5 linked regions of the Macaca mulatta genome follow. The protein of the gene in region 1 purifies or fractionates together with the protein of each later gene. This does not show direct contact. Links are inferred from orthologs where the notes say so. Each region holds a gene or a part of one and is shown on either strand. Other genes may lie near its edges.

Region 1 (3,516 bases):
GTTCAGAGAGAGAGTTTAACCACGGCCTGCCCGTCACCGCATGGTTGCTTGGTGTTCCTGGTGGGGTGGGGTCCTCTGCTGCCCCGCTCCTGTCTGACGACCCACTGTAACACGTGCGTTGATTTTCTCAGCATCTGTGTTTGTATTATTCAGTGGGGTCTGTAGACAAATGTTTGCTAAGGTGTTATCTTTGAAGTGTATGTAATATCATCCTTTTAATATTGAGACTCTTGTTTTTTGAGACGGAGTCTTGCTGTGTCGCCCCGGCTGGAGTGAGTGGCGCGATCTCAGCTCACTGCAAGCTCCACCCTCTGGGTTCCCGCCATTCTCCTGCCTCAGCCTCCCGAGGAGCTGGGACCACCGGAGCTCACCACCACGCCCGCCTAATTGTTTTGTATTTTTTAGTAGAGACGGGGTTTCACAGTGTTGGCCAGGATGGTCTCGATCTCCTCACCTCGTGATCCGCCCGCCTCGGCATCCCAGAGTGCTGGGATTACAGGCGTGAGCCACCGTGCCTGGCCAATATTGAGACTCTTTAAGAAGCATTTTGGTAACCATAGACAGTAATCTGTTGATTTCTAAACTTTATTGACTTTTTTTTTTTAAACAGAGTCTCGCTCTGTCACCCAGGCTGGTGAGTGGCATGATCTCGGCTCACTGCAGCCTCCGCCTACCACATTCAAGCTATTCTACTGCCTTAGCGTCCCTAGTAGCTGGGGTTGCAGGCTCCTGCCATCACGTCTGGCTAATTTGTATATTTTTAGTAGAGATGGGGTTTCACCATGCTGGCCAGGCAGGTCTTGAGCTCCTGACCTCAAGTGATCACCCACCTTAGCCTCCCAAAGTGCTGGGATTACAGGCGTGAGCCACCGCACCTGGGCTTATTGATGTTTTTAGTAAGGTTTCATCTTATCTGTGTGCCAGAAGGTAACTTTTAAATGTGATGTTGGAATTTTACAGTGATCACAGAGCTTGCTTTCTACCATTCTTTTGGTCTCTGTTAAATGCCTTCACTTAAAAGTGCATGGTAGCTGCGTGCAGTGGCTCACACCTGTAATCCTAGCAACTCGGGAGGCTGAGGTGGGAGGATCGCTTGAGGCCAGGAGTTGGAGACCCATCTGTGCAACATAGTGAGACCCCCATCTCTAAAAAAAATAAGAAAAACTAGCTGGGCGTGATGGCAGGTGCCTGTCATCCCAGCTACTGGGAAGGCTGAGGCAAAAGGATCACTTGAGCCATGATCATGATACTGTATTCCAGCCTGGGTGACAGAGCAAGACCCCGTCCCTAAGAAAAAAAAAAAAGAATAATAGTGGTCAAAATGGGATTAACAGAAAATTACTCTTGAGAGAAGAAATTGCATGCCTTCCTTAGTGTTTTTTTTTTTGTTGGTTTGTTTGTTTTTTGAGACAGGGTCTTGCTCTGTTACCCAGTCTGGAGCACAGTGGTGCGATCTTGGCTCATTGCACCATCTGCCCCACTGGCTCAAGCAGTCCACCCACGTCAGCCTCCCGAATAGTTGGGGCCACAGGCGTGCACCACCACACCTGGCTATTTTTTTTTTTTTTTAATTTTTAGTAGAGATGGTGTCTTGCCATGTTGTCCAGGCTGGTCTTGAACTCCTGAGCTCAAGCAATCTGCCTGCCTCGGTTTCCCAAAGTTTTGGGATTACAGGTGTGAGCCATCATGCTCAACTCATTTACTGTTAAAGGATCTAATACCTGCAGCATGCTTTATATGACAAAACTGCTTGTCTGAAAATTCTAACATTTTCTGTTTTTTTGTGACCAGTCTGCTTAAGAGAGATTACTTATATAATAAAGGTAGGCTTTTGGAGGTAGACATTTTTTTTTTTCATTAAAGGGAGTAATTAATTATAGCTAGCTAATTTGTTAGTGATTCCCAGCTATATATGTGGTATTTTGCCATGTACTTGTAGGAAATTGTGGCCCAGACACATACCCAAGCTCGTATACCTAGTGAATGACAGAGGAGTTTCTGTGTGATTCCAGCGTCTGTGTGTCTTTCCCACTCTACCATGCTTGCTTTTTGTATGGAATTTAAATTGTTAATTTTTTTTTTTTTAGGTTAAAAGGACAACTCTGGTGGATAGCAGAACATCTGTTACTGATGTGAAGTTTGCTCCCAAGCACATGGGTCTTATGTTAGCAACCTGTTCGGCAGATGGTATAGTAAGAATATATGAGGCACCAGATGTTATGAATCTCAGCCAGTGGTCTTTGCAGCATGAGATCTCATGTAAGCTAAGCTGTAGTTGTATTTCTTGGAACCCTTCAAGGTAAGTTTACATGTTAAACCTCTGATAACATCCTAGTAAAATAAACTAGTAATTTTTTTTTTTTTTTTTTTTTTTTGTGAGACAGCTTCTCCCTCTGTCCCCCAGGCTGGAGTGCAGTGGCGCAGTCTCGGCTCACTGCAAGCTCCGCCTCCTGAGTTCTTGCCATTCTCCTACCTCAGCCTCCCGAGCAGCTGGGACTACAGGTGCTCGCCACCATGCCCGGTTAATTTTTTGTATTTTTAGTAGAGAAGGGGTTTCACCCTGTTAGCCAGGATGGTCTTGATCTCCTGACCTTGTGATCTGCCCGCCTCAGCCTCCCAAAGTGCTGTGATTACAGGCGTGAGCCACTGTGCCTGGCCCATAAACTAGTAATTTTTAAGGTAATAATTTGATAATTCTCTCAAAAGTGCTTTTTCTCAAGATATATAGATTATATGTTCTCCATTTTTCACCCAGGCATGTCACTTGTCCCTGTTTTCACTCAGCAGAGGGAACCAGCATTGTAAATATGTTCATGTAAACCTTTTGGATGTTTTCTATGCATATACGAATAACTAATGAAGTCATAAACAGACATATGCAAACACGCCCAAATATTTACTAGCACAGGTAGACACAAAACACACAGATGTTGAAACCCATACATTTGATTGATTGATTGATTGGTTGATTAAGACAGTGTTGCTCAGTTGCCCAGGCTGGAGTGCAGTGGCGCTGTCTTGGCTCACTGCAGCCTCCACCTCCTGAGTTCAAGCAATTCTCCTGCCTTAGCCTCCCAAGTAGCTAGAATTACAGGCATGCGCCACCACATCTACCTAATTTTGCATTTTTAGTAGAGACCATGTTTCACCATGTTGGCCAGACTGGTCACCTCAGGTGATCTGCCTACTTCAGCCTCCAAGAGTGCTGGGATTACAGGCGTGAGCCACTGCACCCAGCCAGAAACCCTTACATTTTCCTTCCTTGCAATTAGCTTTTTTCACTTAAAGATACATTGTGGGCATTTTTCTATATATTAATATATCTAGTTCTACCTCATTTCTTTTTAACTGCCATGTAAAGCATGATTGCATGTATATTACCATAGTTGCTTTTTATTAAACTATTTTTAAACAATTACAAGAATCCCTTGGTAAAGAAAAGAATTGAAATAATCTATAAGAATACAGAAAGAAAGGTAAAGTTCTTTTACCCCCTAAAAGCAAATGCTGTTATTA
Region 2 (3,516 bases), on another chromosome or scaffold:
CCTCTACCTCCTGGGCTCAAGTGATCCTCCACCTCAGTCTTCCTGGTAGCTGAGACTACAGGTCACCGTGCCCCCATACCCAGCTAATTTTTTTTTTTTTTTTTGTAGAGATGGGAGTCTCGTTTTGTTGCCTAGGCTGGTCTCACACTTCTGACCTCGAGTGATCCTGCTGCATTTTGGCATTTTTATTTTTGAAATGTTAGCTATTTTAGATTTTCATTGATTTTTGAGATCTTGAAGATGTTGAATCCTGGAAAAAAATTAACAGTAGTTTTCATGAAAAATTTTCTTCATATTTAAAATGTCAAGCTTTTTATCTGTTTTTCTTTGTCCAAAGTGACCAAATTCCTCAGTAGCTTCCTTATTGTGAACCTTGCAGATGCTTGGCCATCACTTTTGTGTCCACAGCATGGATTCAGCTGAATAATAGTTCTGTAGGCTGAGCTAGCATCCAAAGCACAGATGGAGCTGGAGAGTGACATAGCTTGTCCTTGGCTTGATTTTCTAAGTTCCATCAGCTATTGGATAGGATGTGAATCTTTTTCTTTTCCTGATACAGTCTCCCTCCAGTAGCAGGATAAAACTGGAATCTTGACATTTGATTTGTTTTCTTTCTTTCCCTTCCTTCCGTCCGTCCGTCCGTCCGTCCGTCCGTCCGTCCGTCCGTCCATCCATCCATCCTTCCTAGATGGAGTCTCACTCTGTCCAGGCTGGAATGCAGTGGTGCGATCTTGGCTCACTGCCACCTCTGCCTCCCCGGTTAAAGCAATTCTCCTGCCTCAGTCTCCTGAGTAGCTGGGAATGAAGGCCCTCGCCACCACACCCAGCTAATTTTTGTATTTTTAGTAGAGACAGGGTTTTGCTATGTTGGCCAGCCTGGTCTCGAGCTCCTGACCTCGTGATCCGCCTGCCTTGGCCTCCCAGAGTGCTGGGATTATAGGCATGTGCCACCGTGCCCGGCCACAAAACATTTTTTTTAGAGTAGATTGACTTTTGGGGATGATCGTAATAGATGTTAATTTTTTTTTTTTTTTCTGTTTTGTTTCAGAAAAATCAGAGATGGTGCCAAGTTGCCCCTTTATCTATATCATCCGTAAGGATGTAGATGTTTACTCTCAAATCTTGAGAAAACTCTTCAATGAATCCCATGGAATCTTTTTGGGCCTCCAGAGAATTGATGAAGAGTTGACTGGAAAATCCAGAAAATCTCAGTAAGTTGGTTGCTGTTTGGTGTTGAAGCCCACTGTACACTGTGGAAAGCCAAATGAAGTACATTGGTGTCTTTTTGTGTGTTTTAAGGGTTGCGTAAAGAAATAAGAGACTCCTGGTTCTAGTTGAGGCATTAGTACTGGACAATGTACATTAGCAGTGATGGGAAGACTTAGCAGGAATATGCAAATGCTGTTGATTGGCTGGCTTGACAAGCTTTATTTATAGTCCTATTTTACTTACCCTCTAAAGAAGAAAATTTAGGCCACACAAGCATGTGAGAGTCATTGAATGAGGTCACATTGTTGGGAGATTTGAAAATTAATATAACAGTTTTGTCTCTAAAAATTATGGTTGAGACATTATCTGACAACAGACCAGAAAACTCTTGTAGTATTTATAGATTAGGATTTTCGTGAATTGTAGTTCATAACTTCATCATTATCAGAGTAGTACTTGTAAATTGTAGACTTTTGGGACCCACCGCAGATCATCAAAATCAAAATCTCTGGTTGGATCTTAAAATCTCCAGCACACTGGAGTTTAAGAACTCCTGTGTTAGACTTTTGTCAGCATCCCTTCACATGGCTAGGGCATGGGCAGTGTTGGTATATTACTTCTTTGATAAGCTTTTCACAAATGAATCATTCTGGACAAGACCCAGGTCAACTTCTGTGTGAGTGTGTGTGAGAGTGATTATTGGTTTTTTTTCTGTGTTTTTCAAGACAGAGTTTCACATTGTCGCCCAGGCTAGAGTGCAGTGGCGCGATCTCTGCTCACTGCAAGCTCCGCCTCCTGGGTTCAAGCCATTCTCCTGCCTCAGCCTCCTGAGTAGCTGGGGCTATAGGTCCCCGCCACCACGCCTGGCTAATTTTTTGTATTTTCAGTAGAGATGGGGTTTCACCGTGTTAGCCATGATGGTCTCCATATCCTGACCTCGTGATCCACCCGTCTTGGCCTCCCAAAGTGATGGGATTACAGGCTTGAGCCACCGCGCCCGGCCTTTTTTGTTGTTGTTGTTGAGACGAAGTCTTGCTCAGTCACCCAGGCTGGAGTGCGGTGGCGCGATCTCGGCTCACTGCAAGCTCTGCCTCCCGGGTTCACGCCATTCTCCTGCCTCAGCCTCCCGAGCAGCTGGGACTACAGGTGCCCGTCACTACTCCTGGCTAATTTTTTTGTATTTTTAGTAGAGACGGGGTTTTACCATGTTAGCCAGGATGGTCTTGATCTCCTGACCTCGTGATCTGCCCATCTTGGCCTCCCAAAGTGTTGGGATTATAGGCGTGAGCCACCGCGCCTGGCCGTGCCCTGTTTTTTTTGACTCTGTTACCTGGGCTGGAGTGCAGTGGCAATCTCGGCCCACTGCAGCCTCTGCCTCCTGGGTTCAAGCCATTCTCCTGCCTCAGCCTCCCGAATAGCTGGGATTACAGGTGCGTGCCACCACGCCTGGCTAATTTTTGCATTTTTAGTAGAGAGGGTTTCATCATGTTGGCCAGGCCGGTCTTGAACTCCTGACCTCAAGTGATCTGCCCACTTCGGCCTCCCAAAGTGCTGGGATTATAGGCGTGAGCCACTGCACCTGGCCTGATTATTGGTTTTAAGGGACTCTGGTGGGTAATATTGGTGAGTTTGAGAAATCTATTGTCACTTCTAGGAAAAAACATGTCAAAAGTCCTGTAATTCCTTGATGGCAGGGGACCCTGTCTTATTTTTTATTTTTTATTTTTTTTTGAGATGGAGTCTCGCTCTGTCGCCCAGGTTGGAGTGCAATGACATGATCTTGGCTCACTGCAATCTCCGCCTCCCGAGTTCAAGAGATTCTCCTACCTCAGCCTCCCGAGTAGCTGGGATTTTTGTATTTTTAGTAGAGACTAAGTTTCACCAGGTTGGCCAGGCTGGTCTCAAACACCTGACCTCAGGTGGTCTGCCCACTTTCACCTCCCAAAGTGCTGGGATTACAGACCTGAGCCACTGGGCTCGGCCATTAAATAACTTTATGTATCTATTTTTTTGAGACAAGGTCTGACTAGTAGATTTCATCTGCAACAATTAATGTCAGTATGGGTTTATGGATATTAACTTTAGCCCATGGGTTGTTTTGTGGCGTTTTATTTTGTTGCCCAAGTTGTTCCAGCTTCAGAAGGTTACGAGCTCCTTCACAATGGCTCCCCTCTTTCTTTCAGCAAATTTCTACATTTATTTGAGTGTTTTCTTCTTTTCTAGCACTACAAGATGTTCCAGGCTCATCTTGTGTGTTATTTCATTTTTTATAGATTGGTTCGAGTGAGTAAAAACTACCGATCAGTC
Region 3 (3,516 bases), on another chromosome or scaffold:
TTTGCCTTTTTGCAAGGTTGGCTTATTTGGACGTCTAGGCAGTTTTCCAGTTAGAGGGACACCGATGGCCACTCGATTGTTGCTCTGTGAGCATGCCGAAAAGCTGTCAGCCACCATTGTTCTCAAGAACCACCACTCCCGGCTTTCTGATCTCGTCAACACGGCCATATTGATTGCTTTGAACAAGAGGGAGTATGAAATCCCATCCAACCTGACTCCTGCAGATGTCTTTTTCAGGGAGGTATGATGAGTCCTCTTTCATGTGGCTTTGTAGAACTGTGCCATTTAGTGATCATGCCCTAGGCAGGAAAGAGGGTGAGGACAAGTTAAATCACAAAAGATCTCACTGAAATGTTAAATTGGACCCCAGATTTTCTGGCTAAAGTATCACTCAGAAGTATCATTTACCAGTTACCTATAAAGAAGAGCTTGCAAAGTTGACTGAGAAGTGCTCCCTGTTGACTTTTTTTCCCGTTAGTAACTATCTCCAAGTACCTATTTGCTTTGGGTGCTGATCTTCCCTTTTTTTTTTTTTTTTTTTTTTTTGAGATAGAGTCTCACTCGGTTGCCCAGGTACCTCCACCTCCCGGGTTCCAGCGATTCTCCTACCTCAGCCTCCTGAGTAGCTGGGATTACAGGTGCCAGCCACCACGCCTGGCTAATTTTCATATTTTTAGTAGAGGTGGGGTTTCGCCATGTTGGTCAAGGCTGATATTGAACTCTGACCTCAGGTGATCCACCCCTTCAGCCTCCCAAAGTAATGGGATTACAGGTGTGAGCCACTGCGTCCATCCTGATCTTCTCCTTACTTTGTCTCTCGATCTACTGTTTTTTTTTTTTGAGACTGAGTCTCGCTCTGTTGCCAGGCTGGAGTGCAATGGTGCAATGTCGGCTCACTGCAACCTGTGCCTCCCGGCTTCAAGCAATTCTCCTGCCTCAGCCTCTCAAGTAGCTGGGACTACAGGCCTGTGCCACCACACCCAGCTAATTTTTGTATTTTTAGTAGAGACCCTGTTTCACCCTGTTGACCAGGCAGATCTACCCTTGACTGTGCCACAGCCAAGTAGCCTTCCTGAGTGGGCTCCCTTGCCCTCCCACTTCTGCCAGGTCAGATGAATGGGAGGCCCTGCCAGAAGGCCGGAAGTTGTAGTAGTTATTCCCCCAGCTTTCTTCCTTGCCTGTGCCCACTTTACATTGGCTGTGCCCCTCTGTCAGGGACCATGCCTCCTGTCCAACTGCTTTCTCTTGTTTCCAGTAGCTGCCCCTCCTCTTGCCTCTTCAGGCCGGAGGTTGATAATGCCTCATCCTAGGGTGCTGCCCCATCCCCTTTTGGACCCCTTAATCTTGTCCACACCTTTGCAAACAGTCCCTTCACTGAACTCCTCAGCTACCTCCTAGGATCCTGTTGCTACACCTTACTTGTAAAATCAGATTTATTTTCAGAGAAAAAGTAAAGTCTGCTACAAACTTCAAAGACAGAAATGGTTAAGATGCTGGTCAGCCAGTGACAGCTGGACATTGTGGAAATAGTGGCACAGTCCTCACGGTTTTGTGAAGCTTCACAGCCTATTGAGGCAGCAGGGTAGACTTCGCTGTCTCCCTTTAAAGGTGTGACATTAGGGCTTAGACCTATTGTCTTAACTGAGACTGCAGAATGATCTAGTTTTAGAAACAGTGCCAACTCTTCCCTCAGCTCAGTGAAATTTGGAATTCCTTATGCATTTGAGGAGCTTCAAACTCTATTTGGTGTCTCAGATTTTGCTTCCTTCCTCCTATAGCCTAACTGTATTCTAGCATGTAACACATTATGCCAACAGGTCTCTTTTTCTTAATGTTTGATGTACTGTAACCTAAGTTCAGTCTTCTGTTGATTCCATAAATGCGTTTAGTGTGAATTCTTTGTTTTTATACGTTTGTGTTAGTAGGGAATGGAAGGAAAAGTGCTTTGTTATGTTTTGTTTTTAATCTAGACAGTATGCCAGAAATCTGAAAGAAAAACAAATCACCTCAAGTTTCATGATCTAACAAATCAAATTGTTGTCTTTTTTGTGTCCTTTTTGGTGTTTATTCATACATAGTTTTATATGATAAGGCAATGAATTTTTAAAAATTAATGACAGACTGCTTGTAAGAACTGAGCAAGAGCCTGGTTTATTATTCTGCATTTGTATCAAAGGGCAAAGTGTAATTGTCAATGCAGTGTATGTACATGTTTCAGTTAGCTGAATTATTAGAGAAGGGTCTGGAAATTATCAGTTGGATACATAATATAGAATAGTATTTTAGGACTATGATACAGCAAAACTAAAAGTGTGATTGGCTCCTCAAAAGAATGTTCCATATGAAAAATGGTAATGTTTAGGACTGTTCACGTCACTATTTATCTTCATTTCTCATGATGTTCATTGGTCTTCAGCTTCTCTGGGGTGTAGTTCTAAAGGTTTTCTCCCCTGTCATAATCATCATGAAAAGAGAATATAATAGCTATGTACATATAGTAGTTTTTCTTTTTACCTGTCCTTTCCCTTGGGGGTGACAAAGTACCTTTCTAAGGAGTATTTGTGTTTTGGGATGAGCTGGTTAACCAAAATCAATCTCTGATTGGTGGGCCATATAGAAAAATATTTTGACTTGGCAGCCCTGATAGAAAGTAAAACAATACAGAGCCTGCCTGAGGGTGCACTCTCCACTTTGCCTCTGTCTCCAGTTTGGGAAGGCCTTGTACCTCCCAGAGCTCTGGAAAAGCAGAGCTTACTGCTTAAGAAACAGACTATGTTGACACGGCATATGAGCAATATTTGAAATCACTGAATATATACATGATAAGATAATTTAACAAGTGTTTTGGCATTTTATGCACTTTTATTTTCTGTCTTTTATGCTTTCCTTTTTTTTTTTTTTTTTTTTTTTTGGAGACATAGTCTCGTTCTGTCACCAGGCTGGAGTGCAGCGGCACAATCTCTGCTCACTGCAACCTCCGCCTTGGTTCAAGCAATTCTCCTGCCTCAGCCTCTCAAGTAGCTGGGACTCCAGGTGTGTGCCACCACGCCCAGCTAATTTTTGCATTTTTAGTGGAGACAGGGTTTCACCGTGTTTGCCAGGATGGTCTTGATCTCTTGACCTCGTTATCTGCCCACCTCCAAAGTGCTGGGATTGCGGGCATGAGCCACCGCGCCTGTCCATTATATAGGCTTTCATTGTGTTTTTCATGTTAACAATGTAAAATATTCTTATGCTTAATCTTACAAATTAAATATGCTGAAGATTTCTTGCCTGGGCTGTTAGAATGCCTTTGGCTAACATCAGAAATGCAAAAGGAAGAACAAGGTTTGCAAAAGGGAGGGATTTTGTTTGGGTCATGTTTTATCTGTGACTGTGTGTCTTGTTCCTTCAGCCAGTTTGTGAGGTCCTTGAGGGCAGCTGATCTGATTTTTCTTTCCTATTATCTCCATTGCTATGCAAACTCTAATAACGGGGGCAAGCTCAAATGCAGACTTGAACTTGAAACAGGAGTTT
Region 4 (3,516 bases), on another chromosome or scaffold:
CTCCTTTGTCTCCATCTGAATGAGAAAGGTGAGTGGGGTAGACAGTAGTACAAATTACAGCTCATATCTGACAGATTTTCACAAAGATTAAACCAAATCTACATAAAGTGTTTAACGTAGTACCTTTCATGTACTAAATGCTTTTTTTTTTTTTTTTTTTTGAGGCAGAGTTTTTTTTTTTTTTTTTTTTTTTGAGACGGAGTCTCGCTCTGCTGCCCAGGCTGGAATGCAGTGGCCGGATCTCAGCTCACTGCAAGCTCCGCCTCCCGGGTTCACGCCATTCTCCTGCCTCAGCCTCCCGAGTAGCTGGGACTACAGGCGCCTGCCACCTCGCCCGGCTAGTTTTTTGTATTTTTTTTTTAGTAGAGACGGGCTTTCACCGTGTCAGCCAGGATGGTCTCGATCTCCTGACCTTGTGATCCGCCCGTCTCGGCCTCCCAAAGTGCTGGGATTACAGGCTTGAGCCACCGCGCCCGGCTGAGGCAGAGTTTTGCTCTGTCACCCAGGCTGGAGGGCAGTGGCACAATCTCAGCTCACTGCATCGTTCATCTCCCAGCTTCAAACAATTCTGCCTCAGCCTCCCCAGTAGCTGGGATTACAGGCTACAGGCGTGTGCCACCATGCCCAGCCTTTTTTTTTTTTTTTTTTAGTAGAGACAGGGTTTCACCATGTTGGCCAGTCTGGTCTCAAACTCCTGACCTTAGCCTCTACTAAATGCTTAATAATTTTTACCTATTATTATCCTCATCAAAGTTCCAACTCCTAGTACAGCGCCTGACACATAATAGGCATAATTCAATGTTTGCTGTACTTTTCATGTGAATCAAGAGCATCATTTCTAAATAATCATTTGAAGAAACCACTTTCTCATTGAATATTGAGTAATTCACACAACTATTATGGAGAACTCACTGTGTGCCAAGCACTGTAGTGGGTTTGGGGAATATAAAAGTAAACAGTATGTGTTCTGCCCTTACCAAAATAATGATTTCGTGGGGGAGATATATACAAGTAAAGCAGCAGTTACTGTAGCTTCATAAGTATAGGGGTTAAGCAAAGAGAACTATCAATGTGCCAGCACATAGCTGGATGTGGTGGTGCGTGACTGTAATCCTAGCACTTTGGGAGGCTGAGGCAGGAGGGTTGCTTGAGACCAGCCTGAGCAACATAGCGAGAGCCCCCCTTTAAAAAAAAAAAAGCCTGTGTTACATAAAACCTCTCTAGTATTGGTTTGTTCTGCTTTTCCCCCTTACCCCACATGTCACCATGTAAATCTCCTTTGAATTCTCACCTTTGGGAGTTTTAGCTGTCTTCTCTTTGCCTGGAAAGCTGAGCTCTCTCCTTGTAATTCAGGTCTCGACTTAAATATGACCTCCTTGAAGAAGCCTCTCTTGGTCCTCCAGTCTCAAGTAGCTATCCAGTTTCTCTCTGCAACATCCACCTGTTTAAATTATCTACATGGCTTGTGATTTTTCAGGATGTATTACTGTTTTATGTTTTCTTATTTAGTTTCTGTCAGTTTCATGAGAGCAAATAATTTGTCTTGCTCTTGATCCTCCTGCTGCCTGCACCCAGCTTTTTTGGTGTTTTAGAAAAGGCTAGGCCAGGCGCGGTGGCTCAAGCCTGTAATCCCAGCACTTTGGGAGGCCGAGACGGGCGGATCACGAGGTCAGGAGATCGAGACCATCCTGGCTAACACAGTGAAACCCCGTCTCTACTAAAAATACAAAAACTTAGCCGGGCGAGGTGGCAGGCGCCTGTAGTCCCAGCTACTTGGGAGGCTGAGGCAGGAGAATGGCGTGAACCCGGGAGGCAGAGCTTGCAGTGAGCTGAGATCCCGCCACTGCACTCCAGCCTGGGTGACAGAGCGAGACTCCGTCTCAAAAAAAAAAAAAATAGAAAAGGCTATAAACTTGGAGTCAGGGGACCTAAATTAAATGTTGGTTCAGGCTGCATTTTTTACTTCCTGTGTGCTCTTAAGAAGTCATACCATCTCTCTGAACCCAGTTTATCTTGATTTTTGGTGCTGTATTATTAAAGCTTGCTGTATTATTAAAGCTTGCTGTATCTTTCGGGATCTCAAGACTTTCCTAGTCCAAGGCTGTGTACACTATGTTACCTTCCTCTTGTCTGTTACTGCATAATTAGTGCCTTGTCCTCCACTAGATGGTGGTGGCTTGACCCTGTGTCATCTTCTTGGATTTTCCCCTCCCTCACCTCACTGTTGTTTCAAGGTTTTGTATAGAGTCTATAGGTGGTGTTGAGTGATAGGAACTCCCCTTGGATTAATTGACTTCTCTGCTTCTTTGTAGGTGGATTGCTCAGGTTATGACCTGGAGCAGTTACACATCAAAGTGACTTCACTGTGCAGTCGCATAGAGCAGATTCAGTGTTACAATGCTAAAGATCGCCTAGCTCAGTCAGGTAAGCCTCTAATCTCCTCACTTTTTCTGCCTTCTTGCTTCCTGTTTTTATCTTACACCCCACCCTCAGTGCCTGCCACCGTTCTCTAGACCCATGCTCAGTGCTTAACTCTAGTTTTTCTCTCTAGACATGGCCAAACGTGTAGCCAACCTGCTGCGGGTGGTGCTGAGTCTGCATCATGCTCCTGATAGAACCTCCGACTCAACACCAGACCCTCAGCGAGTCCCTTTGCGCCTCTTGGCTCCCCACATTGGCCGGCTCCCCATGCCTGAGGACTATGCCATGGACGAACTGCGCAGCCTTACCCAGTCCTATCTGCGAGAACTCGCTGTTGGGAGCCTGTGAGCCCCAGACTCTTTGCATCACACTCACATGCCCGTTCACACTCACCACACAGAGGTTCCCTGCCTTGTTTGGATTGGCACTGTTTGCCATTCTCTGGGTTGGCTATGGCATCTGCCCTCCTTCCCTGCTGCCACAAGCAGCATCCTCCAGTTGTTCAGGGCTTTTCTTAATACTAAACATAGCATAAGGGCTTCTGGAACCCAGAAGAGGAGACAATTCTCTTTTTACCATCCTCAAGACCAGTGTTTTTCCTTTTAATAAATGGTCAATAAAGCTCCTTTGGCAGAATCCCCCAAAGAACCAGGGAATCCTTTTTCACCCCTAGCCATTCTGGATCTTGTGACCCTCCATGCCAACCAGCTACCCTACTCCTACCCTGGCCCTTTTATGCTAGGACTCCTTAGGAGGAGTGAGACAGGTAGTAATGGATCCTTAACAGGTGAACTATCCACAGAAGGAAGAGGGATCCGTCTCTTAAGTAATTGGTTAGTTAACACTGAATTTTGGAGGCAGAGGAGGGTTGGCCTGAGTTAGGAAACAGAATGGGATCTTTCTGACACACTTAGGGCAGAAGTGAATGCCTGCCATGGAGGGATTGATCTTCAGAGCTTCTTTTGTTCCTGCCTTTAGTGTTCCATGAACACCATACCTTTGCTACTACTATGTGCAGGAGCCCTTGGTCATATGTGACATGTCTATGGGAAGCTCCCAGAATTTGGTTTGGTCCCTGGTTTTCAGTCATCTTGC
Region 5 (4,071 bases), on another chromosome or scaffold:
CCAAAAAAAAGCAAGCAAGAAGAAGAAGAAGAAAAAAGCTCAGCACTGTCACAAGGAATATATGACAAGAAAAGCTGGCAATTTCTATATACCTGTGAAATCCAAATTGTCACTTGCCTTAAGGTATCAATGGTGTGATCCCAAAAGTCTGTCAAAACCTCTTCACTTTCCCCAGATCTTCCATGGCACCTCTGCTAAACTCAAGGCTTCAGTTAACACGCTGACTATTGTGGAACCATACATCGCATAGAGTACCTGAACCTGAAATCAATAAATGAACTGATCTACAAATTGGTTATGGCAAAACCAATAAACAAATTACCTTAACAGATAACTCTTTGATTGATAGATTTCTTGATAAATATGGCATCATCTGACTGGAGAATCTGATTCATGAGATCTATGCTGTTGAAAAACTCTTCAAGTTCCTGTGATCCTTCAAATTATCTTCTCCACGAGGGAGAATGACTACCTATTCTGTATTACTAAAAAGTACAAATGCCAGCAACAGAAAAGACCATATCAACAGGCTTATTAAACGGATAAACTGAAGCATCTAACGTTATTTTTGTAATCTGGTCAGTTAATAGCCAGTCGCTACTTTCAAACTGGAAAAAACAAAAACCGAAACAAAAATGTGACTGACTCCCTCAAGACCAAAATATACCACTTTTTGCCTAGACGGCACTTTGAAATAGAGGGCAATACCATCATGTTTTACGCTTGCCTTTCTACTTTTTAATACAGGTGAACTGTTTCTCCTTAATAGAAAAGAATACCAAGTAAAGAACAAATAGCAGTTATGGAAAACAGTTTCAAAAACTGCAGGGGGCTAGAGAACAAAGGACTGAGTGTAGGGAGAGAGATAAGAGATTCCCGAGGTGTGGGGCAGAGCCCACGCATCTGAATTCCAAGAACAGGCGCTTTCTGACAGAGAATACCAGGAAATGACTTCACGTCTTTCCAGACTATCAACATGCTTCATTTTTCCCAGTAGGAGAACCCAGGGCCTGTTCCACGCCCACAGACGTTGGTCAGGCAAAGCGGCCGCAAGGCGTCTGGGCTAAACGCAACCAGGTCCCGCCCCCGGCCCTGTCTGGTCCAGCCAGGCACACATTGGCAAGCTTTTGCGCCTGCGCCCACCGGGCCGGCACCTGTAGGCTGAAGTCGCCCATGCGCTAGATGGGAACGTCGTTTCTTCTCCCCTACCCCTTTTCTGTGGGGCTATTTTAGGGAGAGACTGCTTCCGGGTCGAAGGGCTTGCTTCCGGAGAGCGGGAAGGGTAAAACGCGGTAGCTAAACTGGAGTCGACATTTATTCTGTGTGGAAAAGGCTTTAGCCATGGACAGGTCAGTTCTGATGATGGCAGCTGAACCCAAAGCCTTGCCCCTCTCGCCTGTTGGCGAAACGAAATAGGTGAAACTAGACTCCCAGAAGAAGCCAAGGAGGTCCCGGGTGCTTCCCCTAAGACTCCTTCCCCATGCCGGGAAATTTGGCTACAAATGGGGAAAGGCCGCTTGGCCTGCGTCGGGTGGGGTACGGATCATAATGGTCCCCTACATTCCCACTACGTTCTGCGATCTATTCGGCGCTTTGGGGCAGCAACACTGATCGCTCCTGGGGTGGGCGGGGTAGGTAGCCCGGCGTTCGAAATGCTAAGTGACCAGCCTGTGATCACAAAGCCAGTCAGTGAAGATACTGGGATCTCAGCTCAGACTTTCTGATTACAAGTGCTAGCATCAGATACTGAGTTCCCTCTGTGATCTGGGTACTGTGCTAGCCGCCTGCAACAAAGATCAGTTATTCAAGATCCTTCACCTCGGGGAATTAGTTGTGTAGTGGAGACAACCAAGCGGTATAAAGTGATAAGTGTTTGGGGGCGATTAAGTCTCCCTGTCACTCTATCAGAAAGACCTCTCAAAGACGGTAACTTTCTAGCTGGTCTTTGCATAATAATAGTACATTATTCGTACTCCAAACATTGAGTACCTACTATATGACTGCCATTGTTGGCTTTGAATATATATTATCAGTTTATTTAATCTTCAGAACAAGAGCAATCCTATGAGGATAGGTACTGTTATCCCTTTTTCATGTATAATACTGAGACTAAAAGAGGTTAAGGAATTTGCTGAAAGTTAGGAAGCTAATAAATACAAGAACCAAATTGCCAACCTGCCTCTGTGTGTCTCCAGCCTACCTGAGGCTCTTTGAGGAGTAATTAGTTGTTGACCAGGTGCCCAAGGGGGCAAATGTAGGTCTTTGTAAAAGAAACATATTCAAAGGTGCTAGTATATGAAAAACAAAAGTACATGTAGCTCAGTGGTCACATGCAGTATATGTTTAGAGTGATGTTTGTGGCTGAATAGAAGACTGAACGCCTAAACTGGGGTCACATTGTAAATATCATTTTAGGAAATTTGCACTTCTATAAACCAGAGAGAGCTATCTGTAGGTTTTTTGTTTGTTTTGTTTTTTAATTTTAATTATTAAACATTTAAAATTTTTTCTATGGGGTTGTTTCCCATACTTTCCTGCTGAAGGAATATCTGAAGGTTTTAAGTGGAGGAAAAGCATATTAGATTCTTGTCTTAAACACAGGCCTTTTAGTCCACACAATTTAGTTTCTAGACCTTTGAGTGAAACTGACAGAGTGTTGTGATGGGACAGGAGACCTCTTTGGTTGAAATAACTTGAAGGGTCATTTTGCTACAATTTACCAGAATTTTTTTACTTACTCTTCTATCTCACAAGCTCTGTTTGTTGTTGTGGTTGTATCTCACAAGCTCTGGTTGTTGTTGTTGTCTGGTGGTGGTTGTTGTCTGGTTGTTGTTGTTTGTTTTTTAATAGTACCCATGGTTTAAAGCATTTTGGATTCTGCAGAAAATCTTTGAAGAGAGAATTCCTGCAATTAGGTAACTTCTCAATCCAACCAGGGAAATAAGATTCACTTTTATGAAGCAATTACCTAAAACAGTGTTATAATATAGATTCCAAGTGTTGAAATAATTCTTTAGGAGAAAATAACATAGTGAGTACTAGAAAGTCAGAGAAATCTTTGTGCAGGTAACATTTGAGTAAGACTTTGAAGAATAAGCAGGATTTGGAGCCACGAGTGCATTCTCAGCAAAAGATCCAAGACTTGGCTACTGGAATGACCTATATCTTAACTTACTCAGGGTCCTTTACTCCAGCTGTGATGATAAAATTCTTTACAAATGCTATATTCTCGTTTCACTTATATAAGCTTGATTATACTACTTTAGGAGTGGCTTTGGAGATATATCATCCCCTGTAATCCGGGAGGCAGAGGTGACACGGACTGCACGGAAACAGAGTGCTCAAAAAAGAGTTTTAAGTATCCTTTGCGATTTAAGCATCATTATAAAAATTGTAACATGTTTGGAATCAGTGTTATAGAATTTTCTTTTTATAAGAGTATTAAATGTTAGCTATAATAAAATCCTGTAGAAATTTTTTTCACTCCACAGAGCTGTCATTAGGTAAATATAATGCAAAAATTTAATAAGATTATATTTCCTTAAAAATAAAGATATTTCTTACTGCTGACTATCATATTGTGGTTAGCTTCTGCTGAGATTTTTATTATTTGAAAACTGACTAAAAACATTTAGTTCAGTGTGTAGTTATCTAAGACTGACGTCTGAGAATTTAAATGGCAGAAGGAATGGGTTATTTACCCTTTGCATTGAAAAATGGTAGCCGTAAAATACCTTGTTCTTGAAAAATGTATTCACATAATTTGTATAGTAAAAAGATGGTTAATTCTCATTTTAATCTTTTCTACATGGAAAACTTTTCTTAACTCATTGTACAGTTCAGGCATCTCAAGATGAAAGTTTCGGTAATACTACACCAAGAAACCAGGTTATCCCTCGAACTCCTAGCTCATTTCGACAGCCTTGTAAGACTTTTTTGCTTTTAAAGCATTTAATAATAATGATAATTATAATAGCAACTAACATTTATTGTAACATGATAAGTATAGTATTTGGTTACAATATCAATAAACACTAATAATAATGATTGCAGTTATTATTTGTTTGAACT

What was found.
Region 2: the proteins of SEH1L (region 1) and NUP85 purify together in Homo sapiens (affinity purification with western blotting; 4 studies listed by BioGRID and IntAct, with this or other methods). This does not show direct contact. The link is inferred for Macaca mulatta from reciprocal best matches to the Homo sapiens genes SEH1L and NUP85.
Region 3: the proteins of SEH1L (region 1) and NUP133 purify together in Homo sapiens (affinity purification with mass spectrometry; 4 studies listed by BioGRID and IntAct, with this or other methods). This does not show direct contact. The link is inferred for Macaca mulatta from reciprocal best matches to the Homo sapiens genes SEH1L and NUP133.
Region 4: the proteins of SEH1L (region 1) and NUP98 fractionate together in Homo sapiens (co-fractionation; 3 studies listed by BioGRID and IntAct, with this or other methods). This does not show direct contact. The link is inferred for Macaca mulatta from reciprocal best matches to the Homo sapiens genes SEH1L and NUP98.
Region 5: the proteins of SEH1L (region 1) and NUP107 purify together in Homo sapiens (affinity purification with mass spectrometry; 5 studies listed by BioGRID and IntAct, with this or other methods). This does not show direct contact. The link is inferred for Macaca mulatta from reciprocal best matches to the Homo sapiens genes SEH1L and NUP107.

What each region holds. Positions count from the first base shown.
Region 1 is NC_133423.1:83,627,703-83,631,218, forward strand, and holds part of SEH1L (nucleoporin SEH1), read left to right. Parts: intron 1-2,087; coding exon 2,088-2,299; intron 2,300-3,516. UniProt on the Homo sapiens protein: Component of the Nup107-160 subcomplex of the nuclear pore complex (NPC). The Nup107-160 subcomplex is required for the assembly of a functional NPC.
Region 2 is NC_133421.1:84,898,473-84,901,988, forward strand, and holds part of NUP85 (nuclear pore complex protein Nup85), read left to right. Parts: intron 1-1,048; coding exon 1,049-1,211; intron 1,212-3,482; coding exon 3,483-3,516. UniProt on the Homo sapiens protein: Essential component of the nuclear pore complex (NPC) that seems to be required for NPC assembly and maintenance. As part of the NPC Nup107-160 subcomplex plays a role in RNA export and in tethering NUP96/Nup98 and NUP153 to the nucleus.
Region 3 is NC_133406.1:19,576,375-19,579,890, forward strand, and holds part of NUP133 (nuclear pore complex protein Nup133), read left to right. Parts: intron 1-16; coding exon 17-241; intron 242-3,516. UniProt on the Homo sapiens protein: Involved in poly(A)+ RNA transport. Involved in nephrogenesis.
Region 4 is NC_133419.1:72,131,693-72,135,208, forward strand, and holds part of NUP98 (nuclear pore complex protein Nup98-Nup96), read left to right. Parts: intron 1-468; exon of another isoform or gene 469-1,623; intron 1,624-1,757; exon of another isoform or gene 1,758-1,903; intron 1,904-2,312; coding exon 2,313-2,424; intron 2,425-2,551; coding exon 2,552-2,769; 3' UTR 2,770-3,516. UniProt on the Homo sapiens protein: Plays a role in the nuclear pore complex (NPC) assembly and/or maintenance. NUP98 and NUP96 are involved in the bidirectional transport across the NPC. May anchor NUP153 and TPR to the NPC.
Region 5 is NC_133416.1:75,809,351-75,813,421, forward strand, and holds the start of NUP107 (nuclear pore complex protein Nup107), read left to right. Parts: upstream 1-1,260; 5' UTR 1,261-1,341; coding exon 1,342-1,349; intron 1,350-3,266; coding exon 3,267-3,358; intron 3,359-3,838; coding exon 3,839-3,925; intron 3,926-4,071. UniProt on the Homo sapiens protein: Plays a role in the nuclear pore complex (NPC) assembly and/or maintenance. Required for the assembly of peripheral proteins into the NPC. May anchor NUP62 to the NPC. Involved in nephrogenesis.